5 linked regions of the Daphnia pulex genome follow. The protein of the gene in region 5 binds, or shares a complex with, the protein of the main gene of each other region. Links are inferred from orthologs where the notes say so. Each region holds a gene or a part of one and is shown on either strand. Other genes may lie near its edges.

Region 1 (5,472 bases), on a different chromosome or scaffold from region 5:
TTCTTTGCCAAGTTACGTCTTCCAAATCGATATCGAACAAATTGAAGTGCCTAATATTTGAAGGATTGTTAGTTGATCTATTTTCAATCACCAAGTAGTTCTCAATTACTTTTACTTACTTTAAAAACGATGAAAACTGTAAGAGCAGCAGTGAGGTAGCTATGGCAGTACACATCTACCAATGAAAAGAGCAGCATTTCAAAACTCACCAATGTCACTTCATTGCCGTAGAACAAAACGGAATCGAAACAATTTCTTCCATCTGCAAGTACAATAAGGTGGACATGTTATAGAATGCACCTCATATTGACGAAGTATGTTTGATCGAGGTGTACCGTTATAGAATATAGATCGCTCATTTTGCGACATATTCCACCACATTTCTATATCGAGTACGGTTTCCAAGAAATGTCTATCACGCACTTCGTAGTCGAGTTCCCTGAAAGCCTGTTTAAAAATAAGCCTTCATTTGTACAATTCAGTAATATTGTAAAAGGTTGATAAACCTACATGATCCAGGAAAGATGTAAAAAATTCATTCAGCTTGAAAAATAGAGTGCTGGTACCGCTAGACTGATCCAACATTATCAGATCAATTGAAACGGAAAGTAAATAAAAGTAAATAGACGTCACCTGATTCTTTATAAGTTTTCTCCATTTATCTGAAAGAGTCTCGTGGAAGAAAATGGAAAACGTTTGAGTGTCTTGACCCTGAACAAGACCTCGTTGAGCGCACAGATTTTCTTCTTCCCTTTGTAATTGTTGACACATGGTCTGCATGTCGATGTCTGCAAATCCATGCGGCGATCTAAATGCCCGTCAAAAGTAAAATATTTGAATTGTTAATACCAAGAAAGATTTAAAAAGTTAACTGAGAAGATAAGGAACCTTCCGTGAATGTAGAAGCCGTAGCGCGAGTGAATTCGAAGCCAAACTGATATGTTTGAAAGTGTACAGACATCAGTAAATCGTTGGATTTTGTGCTCAACGTAACGTTCGAAGAGCGCGGCATTCAAAATATTTTGCGCTAGGCTGAAGAAGAGATAGGTGGACAAACCAAGCGCTAGGCGCAACACTGTGTTGTAATTTAAAAACGTGTCTGCCATGAAATAAGTAGCTGGAATTTCTAAAGAAAATCGCTCAAACTGGAAGACCTACCAAATGACTGGTGTTTATTTTCACGCTTCATTATAATCACAGCTCACTAATTATACCTTGAGTGTCGATAACACTAGAATGACCTGTATGGATATAGAGCTTTTACGCGCTACTTGAAGTTCGTTCCATTCGTTAGCAACAAAGAACATCCTCCATACGCTAACTATTTCGCCTTTCGTCGGCCTCGGACTCTCCCAGTCAATAAGAAAAATATCGACGTTACATTGTTCTCCGATCATCCATAATACACTAATCGTCTGCAAAGGATCCATAGATACAATCGGATACAATTAAAATGACCTGACTATGAATAGTTCCAATTATTTCAGACCTTTAACGTGAAAGCACTAATGACAAGGTCTTTAATAAACTGTTCTTCTTGCCTTGCAGGAAGACTAACAGTCACTTCCTCTTGTTGTCGAAAGGTCATAAACCAGTAAAAAGTGATGAAGAAAATCACTATTAAAATTACGTTGGCCAATATGTCTGCTCCGTAGACCAACAAGCGAATTAGAGTCTGAAGATCAATTGTTGCTTTATCTGATCTTATGTACCTGGAAATTATTTATTATTAGTGAAAACCCAATCAAAGTTAGCTAATCAAATTATCCAAAGTTGCCAGTACATACCATACGACAATCCTTATCAAAGCATAAAGAGCCCCGAAAGTGCTCAACACGCTCAGTGCAATCTATTGATAAACCAAAAAATTCATTATTGATAACGTGATTGTGAATGCGAGGAACAATGTGATAATTTCTACCTCAAGAGATTTCATAGCTTCATCCATACTAACGGTATTTTTTACAGCGAAATGAATAACGGGTGAATTTCCATTCTCAAGGCTACCAATAGATTCGTAGTTGATTGTTGCATAAGGTAATCGTAATGCTAGTGATTTTTCACCAGACATAACAGAAATTCTAAGAAATGCGTTCAAGTTTCAAAGTTGTTCTCGCTTTTTTTTTATAATGAAAAAACTTACCTAATAGTAAGAGAAGATAGATATCGGACGAAGTCGGTGTTTCCTTCTTGATTACTTCCAGTTGCCGAGTCAAAATTAAAGAACCTCTTTGTGAGTTGCCATCGAGAAATATCTTTATCCTCCTTTGTTCATCAGGTTTTAGTACCGTAGTAATGTTGTATTTTCTGAGCGTATAAACTTACCCTATTACGTTGAACGCCTCCGCGAACAAGGTTCAATATTTTTATTGGAACGTTGATCAATCTTGATTGATTAATTGCCCGATCAACGAAATAAATTTCATAAAAGCGCATATCAGCCATGTTGAAAACTTTCGAATAAACCGAACAGCTGTGATAAATATTGGCATTTCGTTGGATTGGTTTCCAAGTTCCAGTGCAGCACAATGATTTAAAAACCGATTGAAGAGGCTGGATCAATAAATATGTACCATCTAATGCGTATTGTTTAACCATAAAATCCATTTTCTAAAAAAAGTCATTAATGAAAAACTTTTCCTGTTTAGTCCGTAAAAGTTATAGATGCTACTTGATCTTTCAGTATGTTTATCCTGGCGGAGTTTAGTAGATATTCGTTTTGACTATCGTCGTAGTATATTGAATTGCTAAAGCCTCCAGATAATTGTCGATAAAGAGAGCAAGCTGACTGAGAATCGTAGTTGTAATCCGTTAAGACACAGAGATTGATCAGATGTTCGCAGTATTTTCCTCCACCGTGTGCCTTTAAAGAAAAAAAATTGGTGTTTAATAGCACAAACATGGTAAATAATTCCTACCTTGCATTTAATTGCCGTCAATCTAACCCAATTCCGCAAATAATTAGAAATGTAAGGTCTCCCGTGTAAGTTATATGTAAAGATAGTGGGTGTTTCGGGAATCGTGAATAAATCTTTGACGCAAGTTCCGTTCACATCTTCGTATTCACTAGGACAATGACACATGTTCGAACAAGGAACGCACGAAGATTTTGTGTCATCAGGCTGATGCCAAAGCGGGCATTTCAGACATCGTGCGGAGGTAATATTTCCAGTAATTTGAAGGACTGTGATAAAAATTCAGAAATTAATTCTTCTTTACTATACTTAGCAGATAGGACCTAGGTAAATGTGCGTTTTTCATACCTTTGATGTCGTACGGTTCACACGTGAGATTGCTTTTTAGACACATTTCTGACTGAATTGATTGGTTACAGCGTAAGCATTCAATTGCTTTGGACTTTTCATTAAATTCAGGGTAGTAGCCAAAGCCACACTCACAACTCAAACGGTCATCGGAAGATATTTGAAAGACCCCGCAACCTTTGCACTTATGTGATATCGAATCAAAGTAGGAGGAACGATTGCAGCTTTCAGGAAACGAAGACAATATGACATCGTAAGCCTCCACCTTCTTTAAGATGAAAAAAAGCAGGTAATGAGCAACTAACACGATCATCGTCACTTTAAATTTTTGTTTGTTTTGTAAAGCATATTTGTTACCTAGCAACCACTCCCCAGCAATGAGCCAAGTCAGCCAACCAACAATATCAGAAAAAACATCGTTTCTTTCATGAATCAATCTGGCAACGCCCACAACTGTCCCATACTGCCATAGTGCCATACATTTGAAGTTTGATCAGTCGAGCTGTCGGCTGCTTGCGTTCTTGCTTTCTTAATTCTGTGAAATTTGCAAGCAAAAACTTGTTTCTCGTGATTAAGAAGTGATTTAAAAAGTTCTGTAAACATGTTTCAAGCAAGAACGATAAATGCTGAACACAAAGACCTGATTCATGATGTAGCTTATGATTTTTATGGGCGTCGATTGGCTACTTGTTCCTCCGACCAGAGTGTTAAAGTAAATTGTTAGAAATCGAAAAAAATTTCTTGTGTTAACTAAATTGCGGAATTATCTTTCAAGGTTTTTGACCTGGATGAAAATGATGAATGGAGATTGACTGCTGATTGGAAGACTCATGCTGGTTCTGTTTGGAAAGTAAATTGGGCTCATCCTGAATTTGGTCAAATTTTAGCCACTTGCTCATTTGACAGAACAGCTGCAATTTGGGAAGAAATTGGTTTGTAAAATTCTTTACAATTTTAACAACTTAAATTAGTTACTAAATGCATATCCAGTTGGTGAATCAGGGAATTCAACGCAGAGTAAAAACCAAAGTCATTGGGTGAAAAGGACAAGTTTGGTAGATTCAAGAACCAATGTGACTGACATCAAATTTGCTCCAAAACACATGGGACTATTGTTAGCTATGTGTTCAGCTGATGGAGGAGTAAGTTCTAAGATATATTTATTACATTGTTAAATATATAAACCAGATGAAAATGTCAATTTTATAACATAATAGGTTAGAATATATGAAGCCCCAGACATTATGAACCTAAGTCAATGGAGTTTGCAGCAAGAAATAACACTGAAAATGCCTGTGTCTTGTCTATCATGGAATCCGTCATTTTCTCGTCTCCATCCTCCAATGTTGGCAGTTGGTAGTGATGACACGAATGTCGCCTCTGGTGGAAAAGTGTTTCTGTTTGAGTACAGTGAAAGCTCCCATCGCTGGTCTAAAGCTGAAACTATCAACACAATAGTCGACCCAGTGCATGACATAGCATTTGCACCTAACTTGGGAAGAAGTTACCACATTCTAGGAATTGCAAGCAAAGATGTTAGAATAGTTATTCTTAAACCACCTCAGTAAGTAGTTAAAATATTTTAAGGATGGAATAAGAATAAATTTATAATTTTTTTTATTAAAGGAAAGATGCTTATGCAGCAGCTTGTCCAACTTCCCAGTTGGAGATACTGCAGGCAGCCCAATTTGATGACCATCATTCTACTGTTTGGAGAATCTCTTGGAACATTACTGGAACTATTCTAGCTTCTTCAGGAGATGACGGCTGTTTAAGAATGTGGAAAGGCAAGAAATCAAGAAATATTTAATGCCATGTCTGGCCTATTAAATCAGCTGTTTTTACTGTCTATTTCCACAGCCAACTATTTGCAGAATTGGAAATGCATTGCCGTGTTGAAAGGTGATGGATCGGGTGTAAGTCCAGAAGACGGAACTGATCGTGATAAAACCGTTTCTGCAGCAACTGCTCGTTACTTTAAACTTGGCGCAATCAGCAATCCAAATCAAGTACCCTGGCACTAACATTTACTTCCCAATTTTTATGATAATAATATGTCTCTTCCAATCCACACAAATAACTGGGAGTTTTCATTTCTGGAGAAACCCATGGTCTCGAAAATGGAAAGTTGTTCTGAAGAAATAAATGAAATGATATGGAGTTTTAAACTATGTCATTTTTTCATGTCACATTCGTTTAGGGTCAAGTT
Region 2 (5,072 bases), on a different chromosome or scaffold from region 5:
TTTTTTTTCTTCTCCGTATTCTTCGTGTTGATTCAATTAACTTGACTGCATGCATTTTGAAAGGCTGGATATTAGAACGTTTTGCACGTACTGTGTATTTGTCTCAATATACTTGTCTTTTTCTGTCTTTCCTTTCTTTCTCTTCTTCTTAAAACAAAAGAAATGTTTTGGTCTTTTTTCCTTTTCTGTTTATGTTTCTGGTTTGTCCCTTTACGTTCAAAGAGATTTCTCCAACATCTGAATTGAAAATTCCATGTTTAACGAAAAAATTTCCATTTCTTTCCCCCAAAAAAAGTCGAGATCGTAGAGGCATCCCAGTCCCGAGCAACACCCGATCGGGTCACGCATACGGCCACGTTTACGGAGGCGCTTACGAAGACGATTACAGCATCTCGCAGCATCAGGCCAGGACGGGTAACGGGAGTGCCAGCAATCGTATCGGCGTCACTTCATCGGCTTCGAGTGGTGGCGGCGGAGTGAACTCTTCAACGGCCGTAGTGGCCCCGTCGGAACGCAATGGAAAGACACCCGGCCGCTTTCAAGATCCAGCTCCAAGAGCCTGGGGCGACGGAAGTGTTCCCCGTTACGTGGCATCTCCCACTCACGCTGCTGCCGCCGCTGCTACTGCCACATCGCCGTCCGCTGGAACTCCGGGAGGCGGAACCCCGTCCGCTCCATCCGCCGCCGACTACGAGAGACCTCCGCCGTATTACTATCCAGGACCAGCGTGAGTATTTTATTGATAAAAAGTCAGTCCTCTCAGCCTCTCGAGAGAGAGCAGCTGTGTGTCTACTCTCTTCAAGTTGATGATGGATTCTGAATGATTCTCGTCTTTTGATTGCAGCGATAAGTGAAAAGCTTTGATGATCTCGTCCTCGATTCCATCAACGTCCCGAATGACGTCTATCCTCCATTCTCTCCCCCCCGGCTGCTGCTTCCATTTCGAGTTGTTGTTTTTCGTCGCTGGATTGATGACGGAGGGGAAGCGGAAGTACTGATTGTTTTCCTCCACTTGTTCTTTTTTTCCATTTCGCGTGTCGTCGTGTTGCCGCGCATCTGCGCGCGCACACAGACGTCAAATGTTGTGTGTGTGTGTGTGTATACAATCCTCGGCGGAGCGATCGCGCGTGTGTGTGTATGTAAGAGTGAACGTGTTTGTACATTATTCATGAGTTTCAGAGTTTCATCTCTCCTCTCATCTCTTCAACAAAACAACAAAAAAAGTCCCGACTTGCACATGGATGCACTCCTCGCCCCCGGCCCCCCCCCCCTTTTATGTGATTTTTCTTGGCAATTTGTCTCTTTAAACGTGTGATGACATGTGCATTTGCTCCTACTTTATATGTGTATAACAGGATATAAAGGCGTGTTTGAGCATTCGAAACACGTACGTTTCTCTCTTGTCTCTGGTTGAACTCCCTGTCTATCTTTTTGGGTGGGGACTTGGGCCGCTGTTTCAAACTTTTTTCTTCTTCGTCGTCATCATCAGACCAAAGCCCAGTATAGTAAGGGATTTTCAATTCTTCCCTTTCTCTCTCTCTTACTTACTCACGGTTCGGTACTTTTGATGAGCAATTGAGGAGGAAGCAAAAAGTCTTTGTTGTTGTTGTTGTTGTTGATGAAATCTCTCTCTCTCTTTATAATATGATTCAATCAATACTTTTTCAATACCTTCTCAAACCAAACAGAAAAGAGTCAATCTCTTTTGTTGTTTTTTTAAAGCTCGGAGTAATCGAATCTCGATAAGTGTTTATTCTTATTCCCTCGTAAAAAAAAAAGAAATTTTGAAGAAAAAATGCCATTCAATTATTGAGGGGAGGAAACTAAATTTTTGATTGTTTGTTATACATGTCACCCGTTCCATATTTCTTCGTCTATCCGCTGTCATTAATTGAATCTTCCACCCCCCCTTTTTTGTATTATGTATAACAACACACAAAAGCTGCTGCCGCTGCTGGCGAACTTTTGAGAATTTCCGTCTCTTTTCACAGCTGGGACGGGCTAAAAAATTCAAAATTTTTTTTTTTTAAACATCAAACTACGATTTCATTCGTGTTTCTTCTTTTCTCCCCTGATTTTTGGCCGTCTTTTGAATTGTAAAATGACTCCCGCGGAATCTCGTCATTTAAGAGAATCATTCGCTCTTTGATGTCTTTAACCTCCCCCGCCACCCACCATTAATGGTGTCGTCTACTTAGTTGAAAACAAAATTAAAATAAAGAAATACACTCATTTCAAAGTGTTGCTCATATCCCTGTAGCCGTGTTCATTTATTTTGTAAATTTATAATTGATTTTGTCTTAAAAAATAGGCAAAGTGGATGATACTTTTTCCGGTCCACTGATTGATGAATCGTAGCCTAAACTTTGGAAATCTTTAAAAGTGGTGTGGAATTCGACCGTGACGTAGCCCAGAGTTTCCATTCGGAGAACTATACGAGAGAAAACAAATTGAATCAACTTTTGAAATAAAGTTATATAATTGAATAATAACTTGGTGGAGTATTACCGTCACGGCCTTCGTTGAGGGCAATAGTTTTGGGATCAATCAATTCAGGACGACGCCCGGTAAACCAACTGGTCCATTTGTGCAGAAGAGATTGTGACTGCGGCCGATAGATAGCCAGTGTTCTTGTGTAATGCCCAGCACAGATGGGCAAAACGGTGGAACCATAGCCGTATGCGACGTCATCGTTACCCAGCTCGTCGGGTCCATAAAGACTGACGATCATTCTAGGCCATCCGTGGGGATTCGTGCTCTTCCACGACGATTGTAAAGGAAAATTCCACACCAATTCTCGGCCCCCAGATGACTTTTGAATGGCTAGCTGACTTAACCCTTCTTCAATACCCTGTGCGTCAAACGAAGAGCTGCAAAGTCATTTTTCTACAATAAAAAAAAAAACAAACAAAGTTGACTGTGTATCTAGTTACGTGGCAGAAGATCCAGTCAGCTCCGTGGTGATAGCAAGTTTTGACGTAAAGTTGGGAATTGAGCGGGAATTCTCCGTGCCGGATTTGGCCTTGGACGGAATAATAAAAGCTGGTTGCTATCAGAGGAGTAGATGTGACGGGTCCATTTGAAGTTGCTACCGATGTCATTCTAAATTAAGATGTGCTTGACTGGAAAAAAACGTTAAGAATTCTCTACATCACAACAATATACACCGACTGCTGGCTCGTTTGTTTCGATTGTCGGGCTGACTCGTTGCCATGGTTACGTCTAATATATGCCGCCGCCCCTATGACTACGTAGCGAAATAAATGGGGGCATTATTCAATTTTTCTGCATTTTAGCGATTGTATCTTTCTATTCAGTAATGAAATGAATGAGTTAACTTGTATGATGAATAAGTCATCAAAATAATAAAGAGAATAAGTGAAAGTCAAAATTTTGTAGACTCGTCTCGGCGCCCAGTCAAAGGGAATTGCTCAATCTGGTATCAGTTACCGCACAAACTACACACAATAGCCAACATTGTTCTATTTCCTATATGGTTTTTATTTACAGTTGTCGCCTTTCACTGATAACGCAATTTCAATGAATAAACCACCTTTGATTGAATAGTAACCAAGTAGACTTATAGGCTCATCTTACCCTCCCAGCGTTGTTTGCTCAGTTAAAGTTCAATAAAAAGCTAAATTTTAAAAATTAAAAATAAGAAAAAATATAATAGAATCGTGAAATTTATTTTATACCTTTATTAAGTATCTTGCTCGGGTGACAAAACAATTACAAGGCATAATGCAGGCTAGACAATGGGTTCGAAGTGGTAGAAATGAAAGTTAAAATCCATCGTCTAGCCCTGCCAGATGGGATTTAGATAGAAACAATTTGTATCTCAATTTTTCATTCATATTCGGCTATCAAAACCATCATATAGACACCAGCTAACAAGGCAGCGATTTCCATTAAAGTTTGTGAGAATTTGCTGTTTTCTAAAAGCTCAGGAATGACAGAAACGGTGGCAATGTAAATGAATCCACCGGCTGTGAACGGAAGGATCCAGGCAGTAGCAGCAGCACCGATTCCTTCTGCTAATAAAGAAACTGCACATCCAGTAAGAGCTCCCACTGCTGTAATAAGCTGCAAAAAGATAGCCTGTCCAATAGAAAGTGGAGAATTAAGATTCCTGTTACTTTGAGATTGTCGGAGCGTTTGAAATTACTTTTTTGCGATCACAGCCTGACTGAATGAGAATGGCGAAATCCCCGATCTCGTGGGGAACTTCGTGCAACAAAACTGTGACTGTTGTTACGATTCCTGTACTTCTTCCAGCCAAAAATGACGCACCAATAGCCAAGCCATCAGTGAAGTTGTGGGTAAAATCCGCAGCCAGGTTCAAATATCCAGCTACCTTGATGTCTCCTAAAGAAATGGAATAATACAACAGATTTAATGACATACTACCAAAAAATAAACTAAATATTTACCAGAGGGTTTGGCAACCTCCTTGGTTTTCTTTTCCTTCTTTTCTTTGGCTTTTCCGTCTTTCGCATCTTTTGCATCAGTTGTTTTATCCTTCTTGGGTTCAGCATGACTGTGGCTGTGACCTTGGCCACCTTTAAGAATTCTAACAAACTTTTCAACAGCAAGGAAGGCAATAATGCCGCAGAGAACCCAAAGTCCAACAGTCATGTCGTGCCCATGAGAATGACCCTCTCCATGAGAATGTCCATGAGAATGCGAATGAGGTTCCTCATCTTCAGAATGAGCCATCAATGCATGCGGAATCAAATGTAGGAAAGCATCACCAAGAAGTCCACCGGAAGCAAAGCTAAGTAAAACTTTTAACAAGGGCTGTCGTTCAGGGCTGCTGTCAATGGGAATGAAAAAAAGCACAATGAACGGTGCTACACTAATGATTAGAGTGGAACCAATGGCTTCTGTCCATAAGGCAGCAGTTGTCCTTTTGGGAGCTTCAACATTTTCTGTGTGATGGTCATGATGATGATCATGTAAGTGTTCATCATGATCATGTGAGTGTCCGTGATGTTCGTGCGAATGCCCATGGTGATGTTCCTTTTCTATTTTCTTGGCTGGGGGTGGAGGAGGTTTCGGAATATTCGCTT
Region 3 (4,832 bases), on a different chromosome or scaffold from region 5:
TGTAAATTTATTGTTCCTTGGACATTCGCTCACCACGATGTTCGTCTATATTTGGGCTCGGAGAAATCCTTACGTTAGGATGAATTTCTTCGGCCTTCTACCTTTTCGAGTAAATAGGACAAAGCAACTGCAAAATTCAAAACACCCTGTGCGAAAATTAACCGATAATTTTTTTCTCTATCCTGACATTTTTATAGGCCCCATATTTGCCTTGGGTTCTCGTGGCTTTTTCAGTTCTTTTAGGCAATAGCGTATTGGTGGACATTCTCGGGATCGCCATCGGTCACTTGTATTTCTTCCTGGAAGATGTGTTTCCTAATCAGCCTGGAGGCAGAAGACTCTTGGCCACGCCTCGTTTACTGTATGCAACAATTTGGCATTCTCGAAAAGAAAAACATCAAAGATCGGTCAAGGGGTTCACGGTTTCTTTTCTTTTCCCCCCCTAGGAAACTTTTGTTCGACACGCACACTGAAGACCCTCTTTACAATCCGGCTCCTGACGAGCGTCCTGGGGGTTTCGATTGGGGCGGTGCTGGTGCTCCGGGAGTGGCAGACGCAGTCGCCGACCAGCCGAGAGAAAACGAAAATCAGTGAGGAAAAGAAAGAAAAAAAAGAGAAACAAACACAATCGTCTTTTTGAAAAATTACTAAATGGCAAAAGAAAATACATGGAAATTTGTTTAATATACAGTTGTCGATGTTCGCCCTCATTATTCCTTCTACACAGTGGCCCGGTTTTCTTTCGCTTACCAATGACCGACTAGCATTGACATACTGCTTTGTTGCAACGTTTACAAATATCCAGCGCTTTCCCCTTTCTCCTTTTATGGCCATCTTTTAACCGTGTCAAGTTTACACGCAATCAACCGTACTCGTAGTGTCCATAGTGCAGTTCTTCGCCCATCCAACTCGAACATTTTGGGAACACACAATCAAAATCGGAGCGCACTAGATAATGAATTAATATTCTATTGATGTGAATAAACAAGACTATTCCCTTTTTCGCTAGCTCAGAGATGAAGGGGAGGCGGACCGACCATAAGTCAATCTGAGATAACCGATTGCGAATTCTAGTGAAAAGGTTCTTTGAACGTCCAAGTTTGCACCGAGCGCACAGCGATTTTGTTTCAAGCCAACAAATAGGAAGGAGCAGTTGTCAACCTTGAAAATGATACATTCCCATCTGAAGCATAAATGTCCAAAAAACTCGATTGCATTACGACGCCTTGTTTGTAGTGAATGCGCCAAAGATTTCCAAATACACAACTTGAAGGTCGCAAATCTGTCAAACTAACAAGACTTGCTATTTGTTTGGAGTCATTTGATTTTCTAATCCTGACCTGCTACAGAGATGATGCTGCATTGGGAAAGGCTTATGCTACAGCGAGTTCACTGCCCTGATCACACACGCAGTCCTCAATTTTGTTTTGTTTCTTCAAGGATCTTTTGAACTGCTTAAAGATGTTTAGTCCACCAGATAGTGGAAGCAGATACTGGAGTTGGGAATGTTATAGTCTAGAATTGAAGAGATAAGTAGAAATCAAACCTGCACGATGACGAAAGAAATCAAATAAATTTAGTTGAAATTGACTCTTGTATACATAAATCTAATTAAGAAACAGACAACTTAGGCATTATTTTTTCTTTCCTTCTCCTCAAGTAGTCTGAGATATTCCCGTTCCTCTTTCTCCTTCATTTGGCGAATGGTGTCCTCAAACATCTTTTTGTTCACCCTGCTTTCGGCAGGGTACATTTCTCTCCTCAGATTGATCATCCAATCTTCAAAATACTCTGCCTGGTTAAAGTAATAGAAACAACCAACTGGGAAAATCATGTACATCCCCATTTTGGCTGCTTCCAGTTGCCAGTTTCCCATGTTTGGATTGTGAAACCTGGACAAGAAAGATGAAAAATAATTTTCCAGCCATCGATCCTACAAGTTTTTTCACAGCTTACTTGCTCTAATATAATCGCCAAGTATTTTATTCACAAAACAAGTTTGTACGTGTACCACACAGCACATGTAATACTGTGACGGGAGAAAGTCACGAATGAAAACAGCTGAGTTGTTCTGCTAGAGTCGTTGCCATGGCGCCCAGTTTGAAATGCCCAAAACAATCGGCTGTCATTTCGTTCATAGCCAAAAGCCATCGTCGAAAGCGATGAAATAATGGGAAGACAATCAGTTCAAAATGTTGTGGATTCTTTCAGCGATAGAATATTTCCAGGTCTGTCGGATATACCTCAAGATTTCTCATTCGTATCGGGTCAAAGTGACATAGGTAACTTCAATTCTTCTCAAATCATTCAAGTTCTATCTATTGCGTCTCGTACTTTATGCTAAACGTTTGATTGTTTTATGGAGCAAAGTTTATGATGTCCAATCAAGTTTGGTACTGCAAATGTCACTATACTTCAACTTGGTCTACTACCCAGTGTGGCTGGCGATCATCCTGGCATCATTTGTGGCAAAGGTATTTACATAATACGAAGAAAAAGTCATTGTCTTACATTTCACTCATCATCTCTTGCTACATTTGGCAGCACCAATGTTTTGGCTGGTTCTCGTATCTCCTTCTTGGAATTGGAGTCTCTGCCTGCTGTGTGACGGAAGCCACCAGGATCTACTTGGGCATGTCTGGCAACCTGAGCGAGCAAGTGGCAGAGCTGTCCACCTTCTGGTTCACCACACTCCTGGTCCAGCTGCCACTTGTGACAATCATCCTGATCGTGGCACTCAGCCTGAGCCAGATCCTGGAGATTGTCGCCTTGTCCATCTCCAGTCTCCTGATGGCAGTCCAGCTGTGTGTCTCGTTCGCCACACTTCGTAACGTGGCCCGCCTTCGCCAATTTTAGAAACCTTGAGCCAGGCGAGAGAGAAACTATACCTCTACGTCTCTCTCTCTCTCTCTCTTACTTTAATTTCCACCTCGTGTCGACAGGTTTTTCTTTCGTTATAAAAGCGCATCAGGGTTCTGTGTGAGACGACGAAAAAGAATCAGATAGACAGAGAGAGAGATGAAAATGAAAATGAAAAAGAGAGAGAGAGAACTCTTTTGGTAGTATCTATATGCACGCGAACCGCTCGCTGGAATTTTGTTGGGGTTTTTTCTTCTTTTTTCTGGCGAGTGACCAGCGACCTTGACATGGCGGAATGAAACACACACACACACAGACTCCGACTACTACGACTACTACCACACTAAACTATACTCAACAAATAAGCAGCAACCAAATAAGTGAAAGGAGGTCCGATGAGTCAGAGAATCTCACAGGATCGCCACAGAAGAAGAAGAAGAAGAAGAACATCCAAATGGTGTTTGGACAGAAAAACGAAGATAGGGAGAGGGTGTGAAAAGATATCGTCTCAAGAGCTTGTTATTTCCCCTTTTTGTTTTCTGTTTTGTGTCGCACACAAATAAAACAATTCGACAGGTCATCGGCATCACTACACTCGACGAGGTCACCACGAGTTTTGGGGGAAATCTTTTTTTCGTCTTATACAAGAAGAAGAAGAAGAATCTGAAGGACTCGGAGACGTATACCAGCAGCAGCAGCAGCTCGATGCCTCTGACCTGTTGATGTTATACCTTGACCTGCTTTTCTCCCCTTCTGTCGTATATAACCATTTTTTTTCTTCTTCTTCTTCTTCTTCTTTTGTCGCCCCTTTTAATTCGTTTAATCAACACGATTAGCAATTCCAAAACATTTAGATCTACAGGTGTAATTGATTGATGGATCAGGCCGGAGCACAGACACACTCACCTGAGACATTTTGGTGGGGAAATTCCCCAATTTAATACACACAAAATTGCGAAAATTGATTATTTTTGTCATTGATTGAGTAATACATTTTTTTTTTAAGGGGGTGATCACCTTGCTGGGCGATTTGACGGCCGGCCGGCCAGTGAACTTGGTGTCCGCGAGGTCGTGACTTTTTTTCGAAATTTCCCACGGGGGTTTTGATATTTCTAATTCTTTCATGTATAGGAAATTCCAAAATGTCCAAACGATGACTGTGCAGCATGCACACACTATCAGAGTTCTCCCCCTTTCCCATTCACCTTGTCGGACGTTTATCCACTTGCGAAATTAACAAGTCCTTTAATTAGAAGGGTGTGGGAGGAACGTGGGAAAAGAAATGAAAAAGAAAATGGTCGTTGAGGTGGGCGGAAACGAGTTGTGACGTGTTCCAACACGTCATTTTGGACCGAAATCTTTTCGTCAATTTACCTGAAAAAAAAGGTCAGTCCATTAAACTGGCGAAACGTCATCAGCCTACGTGACTGATGACACAAATGAATTTTATTTCATTGGAATCGCCAATTGATTTTAAGTTGAAATCGCATAGGACAATTTCATCTGAGAGTCAACTTTTATTTCTCTTCTCTTATTCTGACTTTTATTTTTTCCAAATTGCGATTCGAGTTTATTCCCAGTTGTGGGAATAATTTGGCCATTGTCATTTTAAAGTCAAATGCCAAAAGTCGTAAACTGTTTCATTATAAATGTCTAAACGTTACGTTTTAAAAACCTTGTGTGACGGCCGTGTGTGTACGCATAAACAAAGTTCAACAGAACTTATTCCCACACGGGCCGTTTTTATGTGTACATTGTGAACTTGAATGTCATTGAAAAACAACTGCCAGGAGATGAAATCTTCCGATGAAGCTGGGCCATTTCAATTCAACGACATCAAACTGTCCAAATGCTCATAGAAACAAAAATATTACGCAACATTTTTTCGTAATTCACCAGAGATGATTTTTAGACTCAAAAAGTCAACAAATAATATTCGTTAATTCACTGCAACTGGCGAATTCAGTAAAACG
Region 4 (4,022 bases), on a different chromosome or scaffold from region 5:
AGATCCGCCAAAACGGAGCGGATGCCTTCTGTCCCGTTGTGAGTAATGCGCAACGTCACGGCGGTCAGCGAATTCCGACAGCTGGGCTCAGGTGCTGGAAGATCCGATCTGCATTCGGAATAAGAGTTCTCGCAGATTCTAACAACCACCGGCGCCAACTTGTCCATGTCGCCCCATCGGGCGCTGCTATTGCCGTTCCCGTTGAAAGAGACCGAATAAGACGGAAGCCGGAAGACAGCTAAATTGGCCAGCCATTCTTCAAGACGAATCGTTGGACGGCATCGATCCTCGCCCGGCAGACTGCACTGGTAATCGTTATCAGATTCCAGGAAATGGACCGTTTGGGCCGTGTTGCACGAAGCGCTATTGAGCGAACGCGGTAAATCTGACAAATGAAATTGCAATTAAAACAAATTCGCATCAATAATTCAATTTAAAAAAAAATGAATTTCAGGCAATTACTCAAGACGCTAACGATCCCGTTGATATGGAGAGTGAAGATGGGCGACCCTTGCTTGTAGTACGGCTGATAAATCCATTGTTCCAATCCGGCACTGGGTTCTTGGCTCTCCGGATCGTTCCATCTGCCGGACAATTTGGGCGAGATGTGCTTGAAAAGCTCATCTTCGGTAACGGGAGCTTGATCTTCGAACAATCTCTTTTTAGGGACGTTGTCTGTGACGATGCAGAACATTCCGCTGCGAGAACTCCACTGGACGCGGAATTCCGGCGTATTGTTCCATACGAGTCCGTAACGATCAGGATCCGGCGAGCAATAGTAACGGTCGAAATACGAACTGGGCGGCGACCAGCAGCCATTTAATAGGCGGAGGTCGTCCTGGCTGCAGTCGGGATCGCAGCAGCAGTTGACGTCACACTCTCCGCCAATCAAATCGCAAGTGCAGAAGAACAAATTGTAATCGAACGGATCCGATTCCGGTTGTTCGGGAGCGACGGTCGTTGTCGGAATGGATTCCGACGACGACTCGGTGTTGAGATAAAGGAAAATATTCTCATCTAGATTTATATCTGCTGTTGATAAGGAATTGGTTAAATTCTCTGACATAGGTGTCGCCGCCGTCGTCGAATCGGTGCTCGACTGGTTTTTTCGATTCAAGTCGGTTTGGTTATTACTTTCAGATTGATCGACTGCTGTACTTTGCGTCGCGGACTGGGTAAAGACGAAAGTTTTGGAGATGAGCAGGGCAAATTGTAGAATCACGAATAGCAGCTGAAGGGTGGGTAACTTGGCCATTTTCTTTTGACGTCTAGTACTCGATGCCAAACTTTTTGAAATCGCGGAAGACTAATCCTATTTCCAAGTAGACTCTTCCGGTGGCTTCAGTTCTCAAACGGGATCGATCGGCTCCGTTTTGGATTCGCTCTGCGTCAGCCAACTCGACTCCACCGCCAATGAAATGACGCATCAACTCCTCAGTGAATGTACCTTTTAAAAAACCAGAATTGATCACTCTGAACTCCTAAACGGACAGGTTTTACTTTTTACAAAGGGAACGAAGAAAAAATAAAAACCTAAAGGTCTCCAGGCCGGAGCGTCGATGTAGTGGATGCCGGGACGTGTAGGAATGGATGCAGATGCGTAGCCTATCAAATTGGTTCGTGAGTAAGCGTCCAGGTGGTAAATCTGTAGGTGAATTTGCGGCCAGCCTTGAAGACCTCGAGTAGCCCAGTGCACGTCCAGTGGATGATTCCAGCTGCTCACAGAACCGATTTGTGGTGTGTCAAGTTGCGTCTGGCCTTCAGTGGCTCCTTCTAGAACACGCCAATTTTCACCTGTGATGTTTCACAATTCAAAACGTTAACGAGCCCGATCACATTTAAAGAGAGAAAGCGCACGTCAAAGCCGATTGGCACCTACCTGAAGATAATTGCCAGCGACAGCAAATTGATTTCTCGGAAAACTCTGTTCCGCCGATGATTTGCCCGATTAAATGTAGTTCTGCCATATCCCTTTTTCCATCCCACTACTAATATGAGAGAGACGCCAACTACTCGAAAAGAAAACAAACAAAAGGTTGCCATGGGTGATCTAGTTACTATGACAATGGCAAAGTCGTCTGCTTGTTTGTCAAGATAGTTTTGTTGTTTTTTTAAGAGACACGATTTGAATCCGGTTTTCCTTTTGTATAACTTATCCAACAAAGATTTTGATCTTATCTTATTACATGTAGAACCCTCAATAAAGCGAGAACAGTAATAGTAGTATTAGTTTCAACCTAGAAATAACTAGTGGCGTTCGTTGTACTGAATTGAGAGTTTAAAAGTTGGACCAGTTTTTTTTTCCTACAAATTTCTCAGAATATTTTTGTTTGGATATTAACAAGATCTTTTTTGTGTGTTGGCTAACTTTTAAAGTTTCCTGGCTTTCAAAGATCTTTATTTCACTTCATTGCAAGTTTAAATTGGCACACATGTTCATTGAACCGTCACAATCTCTCAAGTAAGTATATATATTTGTTTCAACCATTTGGATTTTGTTGCACAATTTTACTTTCAAAAATATTATAATCTATTTTATGTTGAAATATTTGCAGTTTCCATGTGGATGGTATGGAAGCCTTGACCTAGTCTTTCAACAGTAGCAGATCTGTCTCCAACCTTGCTCGATTTAAAAGGCAGGTGTCATTTCAATATTTGCATCACTTCATCACAAGCAATAGTTTTATTAGCCAAACTTGTACAAGTTTTGCTCTATATAACCATAAACTTGTACAAGTTTTGCTCTATATAACCAATTAACCATAAATTTGTACAAGTTTGGCTTTAATGGCTTATAATTTTAGTAATTTTTTTATAGCGATTGATCTATGGAACTTTGTGTAATTTGAAATGCTATTTGAAATTATTGTCACTTATTTCATATCCAATCAATGTTGATGGATTCTGATGAAATCTGTTAATGTAATTGATTGAACGTCCAAAGTGTGGCCATCGATCATCAGTTTGTAGTTTGTACAGTATATTGTGTCGTCGGTGCTGCACATACGCAAACAATTTTTGATGGGCATTATTCACAAGCTGATAGTAAAAACAACCGATAGATAAATCTTGTTGCGCAACTTGCCCCATAAGTTGAATGGATCGTGGGTGGGGAGGGGGGGAAAGTAGATCGATTCAAACCTTCTACAGTGCCCCTTGAGGGCACCGTGTTGCAGTTCTCAACGCTCGATGAATGAACATGAGATCAGCTTTTAGCGTTCGAGTCGTTTGATCCAATCTACTCTCTCACAGAAGCAATCGATCCGTAGATGCATCAAGTCCCGCCGTCGGCTTGGGTGGGTCGGGAGTGGAAAATAAATGGCATTTTCATCAAAGATTCATCAAGGCACTCTCTATGGGCGATTGAATTCTTGTTAAAGTCTTTCGCGCTGCTGCCCCCGCGCTCCTCAATATATTTCGTATATTCGATTGACATTTTTGGCCGGGGGAAAAAAAAAATCTGATAATTGCATACAGCGAGACGATAAAGGAAGAGGATACCAATGTTCTTGGTCTACGTGACAGGGTTCCCTATATGTGAGGCGTTCACTTATTCGGAACTGCAGTTCAATGCACTTGCATCAAATTTAGCGTTTTTTCCCGCCAAACTTTCCTCGACACTTTTTATCTAATTTGCTCTAGCTACACCTTAATCACCTATTTTTTTGGTTGCTGTTCACTTTCTATTAAACGAGATCTATCAAATGCGGACTGATTGAGTGTTATATAAGCTTGCGGCGTTATTGGGTAACCCGAATATGAAACGAGAGCATTGTTGCTTTGCTTCTCGGCGTGCGCCCTACGCACTATATAAAGAAGGTCGGCAGAAGAGAGGTTCAGTCCCTTCACAGTCTCCGGAGCAACAGCACCAGTAGTGGCAGAACCAACAGGCAGCTGGACATTTAGTTTAAAAATATATATATATATTATTTCTCAAAAAAAGATTAGGTACAGAATCAAGAAAATGACTTTTCCATTGTTAAATTTCCCGTTTTTTTTTCCATTTTACTGTTTGAATAGGA
Region 5 (3,843 bases):
AATTTGAATTCAACTTGCTTTTATAAGGAAAAGAACATTAAACCTTGCTCCACTTGCAGACGACTTGAAACGGGATTTTAAAACCACCCAGCCAGTGCCTCTCGTACCGCTGGTGGACGCTCACATCCCTTTGACGGTCGTCGTCCAAAATATCGACCACAACCTGTTCAAAAAATTGTGAATGTTTATCGATGTTTATCTCTTGTTGAATTTAACCATTTAAAATATTTTTTTAAGTAGCCTAACCTCGTCAAAAAGTTGAATGAACAAATCGTCTCGGATGGATTGCAAATAAGCCAGTGAACGAATTCCTTCCGCAAAACTGTCAAATTCGATTTGTTTGATTAGATTTAACGAATTTTAAAAGAGTATTTTTTTTTAAATACTTGACTGGAAGACAAAGTTCTTGGTTCCAGGTGGGACTGGTACCGTTTCCAGCTGTTGTTCGAGCGCTGGATTTTTGGAAAGACACTTCGACAAACGGGTGGACCATTGAATCTCCTGATTTAGGCGGGAAATTTAAAACTAAAAATCGTGCTATTATTTTGAATTCAATTTTTGTCAAGTACTTTCGATTTTATGAGGTAAATTGAGCGCTCGGATGACGTTGACTCTCAGGCTGACTTGCTCCGTCGTATGGATGGCCAGGCCGGCCAGAAGTGGCACAGGATTTCGCTCTTTTCTTTCCGGACGTAGAGGTCGATGCGCTTTGAAGAAGACGGGCATCAACTGGCCGCCAAATGTGCTGGATGGACGACACGATTTTGTTTGATTGAATGAATTATCAATTGCGGATAAGTTTGATTTTACCTGATGTCGGGAATGTGATCTTCCATGACCAAATCGGCTAATTGGAGCCTTTTTTGGCTGGAAGATGATAGTCGATCGGCAACTGTTGGGTAAATTTCTAGCCATTTTCGCTGACCCCTTCGCCTTAATGCATCCAGCGGATTGACGGACTCTTCCGTTTCCAGCCGATCGAATGACGAACCCGTTTTAGCACTGCCATCTATCAACTGAAAGTTTGAATTAATTTTCTGAATCAATTTTGAAATGGTGACGGGCGTGTTAGAAAATTACGTGAATCAAGTGATTGGGTATTTCATCCGGTCGACTGGGTATCATAGTCAAATGACCGAACGGTTTAATTTCATCTGCCCGTCGCCGGAGCAGCTGGAAACGAACGTTGGAATCGAATTGCTCCTTGGAACAGAATGTGTCCCCATCGTCTTCTTTAATGACTTCCCCCACCGTTTTGCCGGCCCTCCATTCCAGCCGGTTCATTTTCTGAATATAATTGAATTAATTTTCAAGTTAGAAATTCCCTTCAAACTAATTTGATTTGTTTACTTCGATCTTGTCCAACGTCTCAGCATTGGCAGGATCGTTTGGATCCAGTTGCACTTTGGGATTGACCCATTCTGACGGCTCGGAAATGATTGTTGGCAAATGATCGATGTTGTTTGGCGCCATAACGTTGCCCTGATTGTCTGTCCCCCATCCGGTTTTGATTGTTAGCGTTCCATTCGTCCACATTTCGCCATCTTCTTCCCGTCCCGGTTGTTTGATTCCGCAACCCACGCTGGCGAGATCGACGATGGGTTGCTGAACCAAACCACTTTTGAATTTCAATGGCGTTTCCGGCTGTCCGGCGAAACTTGTCTTTCTGTACAGAATACAGAAATTTTCAAAATATTTAGGAAATGAAAATTTTAAATTTGTTTTTTTCCTTACGCGGATGGAATGGGGACGTTTACGTCGGCCAGCAAACTCCATTTTTTCTGATTGTTCCGAATTCTGTAGAACAATTGGATGGAAATGTTTCGCGGTTTGTCTCTGATCCACAGATGAAAGGCCTGTTGAATCTCATCCGCCGTAAAGTCTTCCGCCAAGTGGAAGACGTCTGAAACGGCCATTTCTTCTTGATTGACTAGAATCTTGACCTGGTAAACGCATTTCTTGATTGCGTCGATCCTCCTCTGTTCTCTTTGTCGATTTAAAAAATTTCAAATTCAAATTTAGCGCCAAAATTTAAAAACCAAAACGAGACACCTACCGAGCGTCGCTGACATCAGACGGACTTGCGGTAGTGTTGGGAGTCCACAAAAGGTTAGGCATCGTCTCACCAGGTGGCACGAGCGATTCTTGCATTCTTTTGAGGATCTCTGCTCGTGTCTGTTCCTCGTCAAATTGACGTTGCACTGGCGCTTCCGGCTCGTCGTCAGTTTCACTTTTTTCTTCATCTCTTTTCTCCTCTTCTTCTTCATCTTCTTCAGATGAAGAAGAATCGGATCGCTTCGTCATCTCCTGGAATTTTATAATTGAATAGGGGGAAAAATGAAAAATGAAATTTCATCGTCCTATTATTCATTCATACGCCTCCCACTTTTTTCTGATTTGTTAGAATTTACTTTTCTCCTCCTGGTACTTCTGGTACTTGCACTCGTCCTCTGAGTCGACTTTTTGTGCCTCCATTGTGCCTTTTGACGCTTGTATCGATCAGACTCTGAGCGGACGTGCTCGCGGAAGAGTCTACGGGATTCGTCCATCTGTCGCTCCATCTCTTCATCCCAATCGAGTGGCGGCGGTGGCGGTGGTTGTTGTTCGTGTTGATCTTCTTCTGCGGCCAGTCTACCAGCAGCACTTGTCATTTTCTTCTTATTCTTATTCTTCCTCTTCTTCTTTGGCCCGTCCGACAGTTGACAGCTGGTGCAGGCGAATCCCTGACTGGTGCGCATGTCTTTCAAGCGCTTCCAGTCGGCCATCATTGAGCGGACTAATGCTATTCGGCGGCCACTGGCCGCGTAGTAGTCCCCTCGGGTCCAACCAATGGCCTCCCTAAAGTCATAAATCAGCCAAAACGAATTTTTGAGTTTTTGAGTTTTTGTTTTCTCTCGAACCGGTAGGAAGCGATGCGCTGGAGCTGGGCGGCCATAACGGCCTCGTCTGCTCCGTTGAATTGGAGCCGCTCGACCAGTTCGACGGCCTCGTCGTGGGCTTGGTAGAGGGCCCGCAATTTGCGGGCCAGGACGTCCATTTGGGCGGCGGTGATGGCCGCCGAATCGGCCGAGGTCGAGGAGTAATCGGCCCACTGTCGGCCCAGTCGGGACGCTAGAACATTTTCGACGCCAAACAGCCAGTGATGATGGAACTCTATTCCGCTGATGAAAACGTGCAGAGGATAAACCTGCCGCTCGGCAAACGGACCGGCCGTCGTTTGACCCTCGACTAATTTGCCGTTCTGAAATTCAAAAATTCGCGGGTTAATTTTTAAAAAATTGGCGTGAGAAGAAAAAAACAAATTGTAACTGTAACATACGGGAAGGTAAATTGGACGAAACTGGTCGGCTGGAGAATCCAGGACCGGGATGATGTTGCGGATGAGATAAGGGCGTAATGGATCAGGTAGAACGGCCAGCGATCCGTCGGAGCGGAACCATTTTGTTTTGGTGGTTTGCTGCTGCTGCTGCTGCTGTTGACTGGTCGTCGTCACCAGACGCCGTTCGAGAATCTCCCACCTGCGACGGGAGCATTTGGGCGGCGAGCCGACGTAAAGGCCGTCTTCTTCCGGCGACCACAATTGCGTCACATCGTCCAGTTTTTCATCGAGGCTCACTAATATAATCCCCACCCGCCCGTTTATTTTTATTTTTTTTTTGAAAGATGTTTAAAAATGAATGAATGGAGCCAAAATGTCTTGGTAACAACAGCACCTGGAATTTGTGACGTGATGGTCACCAGGCCTGTCCAGCTGGCCGGATAGTAAAACGCCGGCTGGTAGTAATGATGAATCGAGTCGCTGATGTCGAGACGGACGTTATTCGGATCATCTGACTGGCCAAC

The links.
Region 1: coiled-coil and C2 domain-containing protein 2A-like (region 5) and meckelin-like share a complex: the UniProt entries of both Homo sapiens proteins name them as parts of the tectonic-like complex. The link is inferred for Daphnia pulex from reciprocal best matches to the Homo sapiens genes CC2D2A and TMEM67.
Region 2: coiled-coil and C2 domain-containing protein 2A-like (region 5) and B9 domain-containing protein 1-like share a complex: the UniProt entries of both Homo sapiens proteins name them as parts of the tectonic-like complex. The link is inferred for Daphnia pulex from reciprocal best matches to the Homo sapiens genes CC2D2A and B9D1.
Region 3: coiled-coil and C2 domain-containing protein 2A-like (region 5) and transmembrane protein 17B-like share a complex: the UniProt entries of both Homo sapiens proteins name them as parts of the tectonic-like complex. The link is inferred for Daphnia pulex from reciprocal best matches to the Homo sapiens genes CC2D2A and TMEM17.
Region 4: coiled-coil and C2 domain-containing protein 2A-like (region 5) and B9 domain-containing protein 2-like share a complex: the UniProt entries of both Homo sapiens proteins name them as parts of the tectonic-like complex. The link is inferred for Daphnia pulex from reciprocal best matches to the Homo sapiens genes CC2D2A and B9D2.

Annotation. Positions count from the first base shown.
Region 1 is NC_060020.1:7,747,176-7,752,647, forward strand, and holds the start of meckelin-like, read right to left. Parts: upstream 3,611-5,472; 5' UTR 3,577-3,610; coding exon 3,264-3,576; intron 3,185-3,263; coding exon 2,919-3,184; intron 2,864-2,918; coding exon 2,672-2,863; intron 2,611-2,671; coding exon 2,326-2,610; intron 2,266-2,325; coding exon 2,144-2,265; intron 2,082-2,143; coding exon 1,922-2,081; intron 1,850-1,921; coding exon 1,788-1,849; intron 1,713-1,787; coding exon 1,490-1,712; intron 1,416-1,489; coding exon 1,215-1,415; intron 1,155-1,214; coding exon 889-1,154; intron 809-888; coding exon 634-808; intron 574-633; coding exon 511-573; intron 448-510; coding exon 336-447; intron 263-335; coding exon 120-262; intron 51-119; coding exon 1-50. Other genes in the region: nucleoporin SEH1-like, read left to right, coding at 3,865-3,975, 4,039-4,195, 4,254-4,405, 4,481-4,827, 4,890-5,050, 5,124-5,287. UniProt on the Homo sapiens protein: Required for ciliary structure and function. Part of the tectonic-like complex which is required for tissue-specific ciliogenesis and may regulate ciliary membrane composition.
Region 2 is NC_060017.1:7,404,627-7,409,698, forward strand, and holds B9 domain-containing protein 1-like, read right to left. Parts: upstream 3,569-5,072; 5' UTR 3,102-3,568; coding exon 2,934-3,101; intron 2,852-2,933; coding exon 2,509-2,851; intron 2,432-2,508; coding exon 2,301-2,431; 3' UTR 1,443-2,300; downstream 1-1,442. Other genes in the region: prominin-like protein, read left to right, coding at 296-727, 845-854; protein catecholamines up-like, read right to left, coding at 3,850-4,101, 4,169-4,368, 4,434-5,072. UniProt on the Homo sapiens protein: Component of the tectonic-like complex, a complex localized at the transition zone of primary cilia and acting as a barrier that prevents diffusion of transmembrane proteins between the cilia and plasma membranes.
Region 3 is NC_060027.1:837,579-842,410, forward strand, and holds transmembrane protein 17B-like, read left to right. Parts: upstream 1-2,146; 5' UTR 2,147-2,170; coding exon 2,171-2,282; intron 2,283-2,370; coding exon 2,371-2,474; intron 2,475-2,544; coding exon 2,545-2,856; 3' UTR 2,857-3,824; downstream 3,825-4,832. Other genes in the region: derlin-2-like, read left to right, coding at 1-109, 198-361, 447-594. UniProt on the Homo sapiens protein: Transmembrane component of the tectonic-like complex, a complex localized at the transition zone of primary cilia and acting as a barrier that prevents diffusion of transmembrane proteins between the cilia and plasma membranes.
Region 4 is NC_060024.1:10,638,377-10,642,398, reverse strand, and holds B9 domain-containing protein 2-like, read right to left. Parts: upstream 2,009-4,022; 5' UTR 1,968-2,008; coding exon 1,880-1,967; intron 1,795-1,879; coding exon 1,534-1,794; intron 1,448-1,533; coding exon 1,269-1,447; downstream 1-1,268. Other genes in the region: tectonic-3-like, read right to left, coding at 1-385, 463-1,255. UniProt on the Homo sapiens protein: Component of the tectonic-like complex, a complex localized at the transition zone of primary cilia and acting as a barrier that prevents diffusion of transmembrane proteins between the cilia and plasma membranes.
Region 5 is NC_060026.1:1,917,293-1,921,135, reverse strand, and holds part of coiled-coil and C2 domain-containing protein 2A-like, read right to left. Parts: coding exon 3,714-3,843; intron 3,616-3,713; coding exon 3,320-3,615; intron 3,242-3,319; coding exon 2,901-3,241; intron 2,839-2,900; coding exon 2,412-2,838; intron 2,308-2,411; coding exon 2,057-2,307; intron 1,987-2,056; coding exon 1,735-1,986; intron 1,667-1,734; coding exon 1,351-1,666; intron 1,288-1,350; coding exon 1,081-1,287; intron 1,017-1,080; coding exon 811-1,016; intron 746-810; coding exon 570-745; intron 502-569; coding exon 387-501; intron 323-386; coding exon 247-322; intron 164-246; coding exon 44-163; intron 1-43. UniProt on the Homo sapiens protein: Component of the tectonic-like complex, a complex localized at the transition zone of primary cilia and acting as a barrier that prevents diffusion of transmembrane proteins between the cilia and plasma membranes.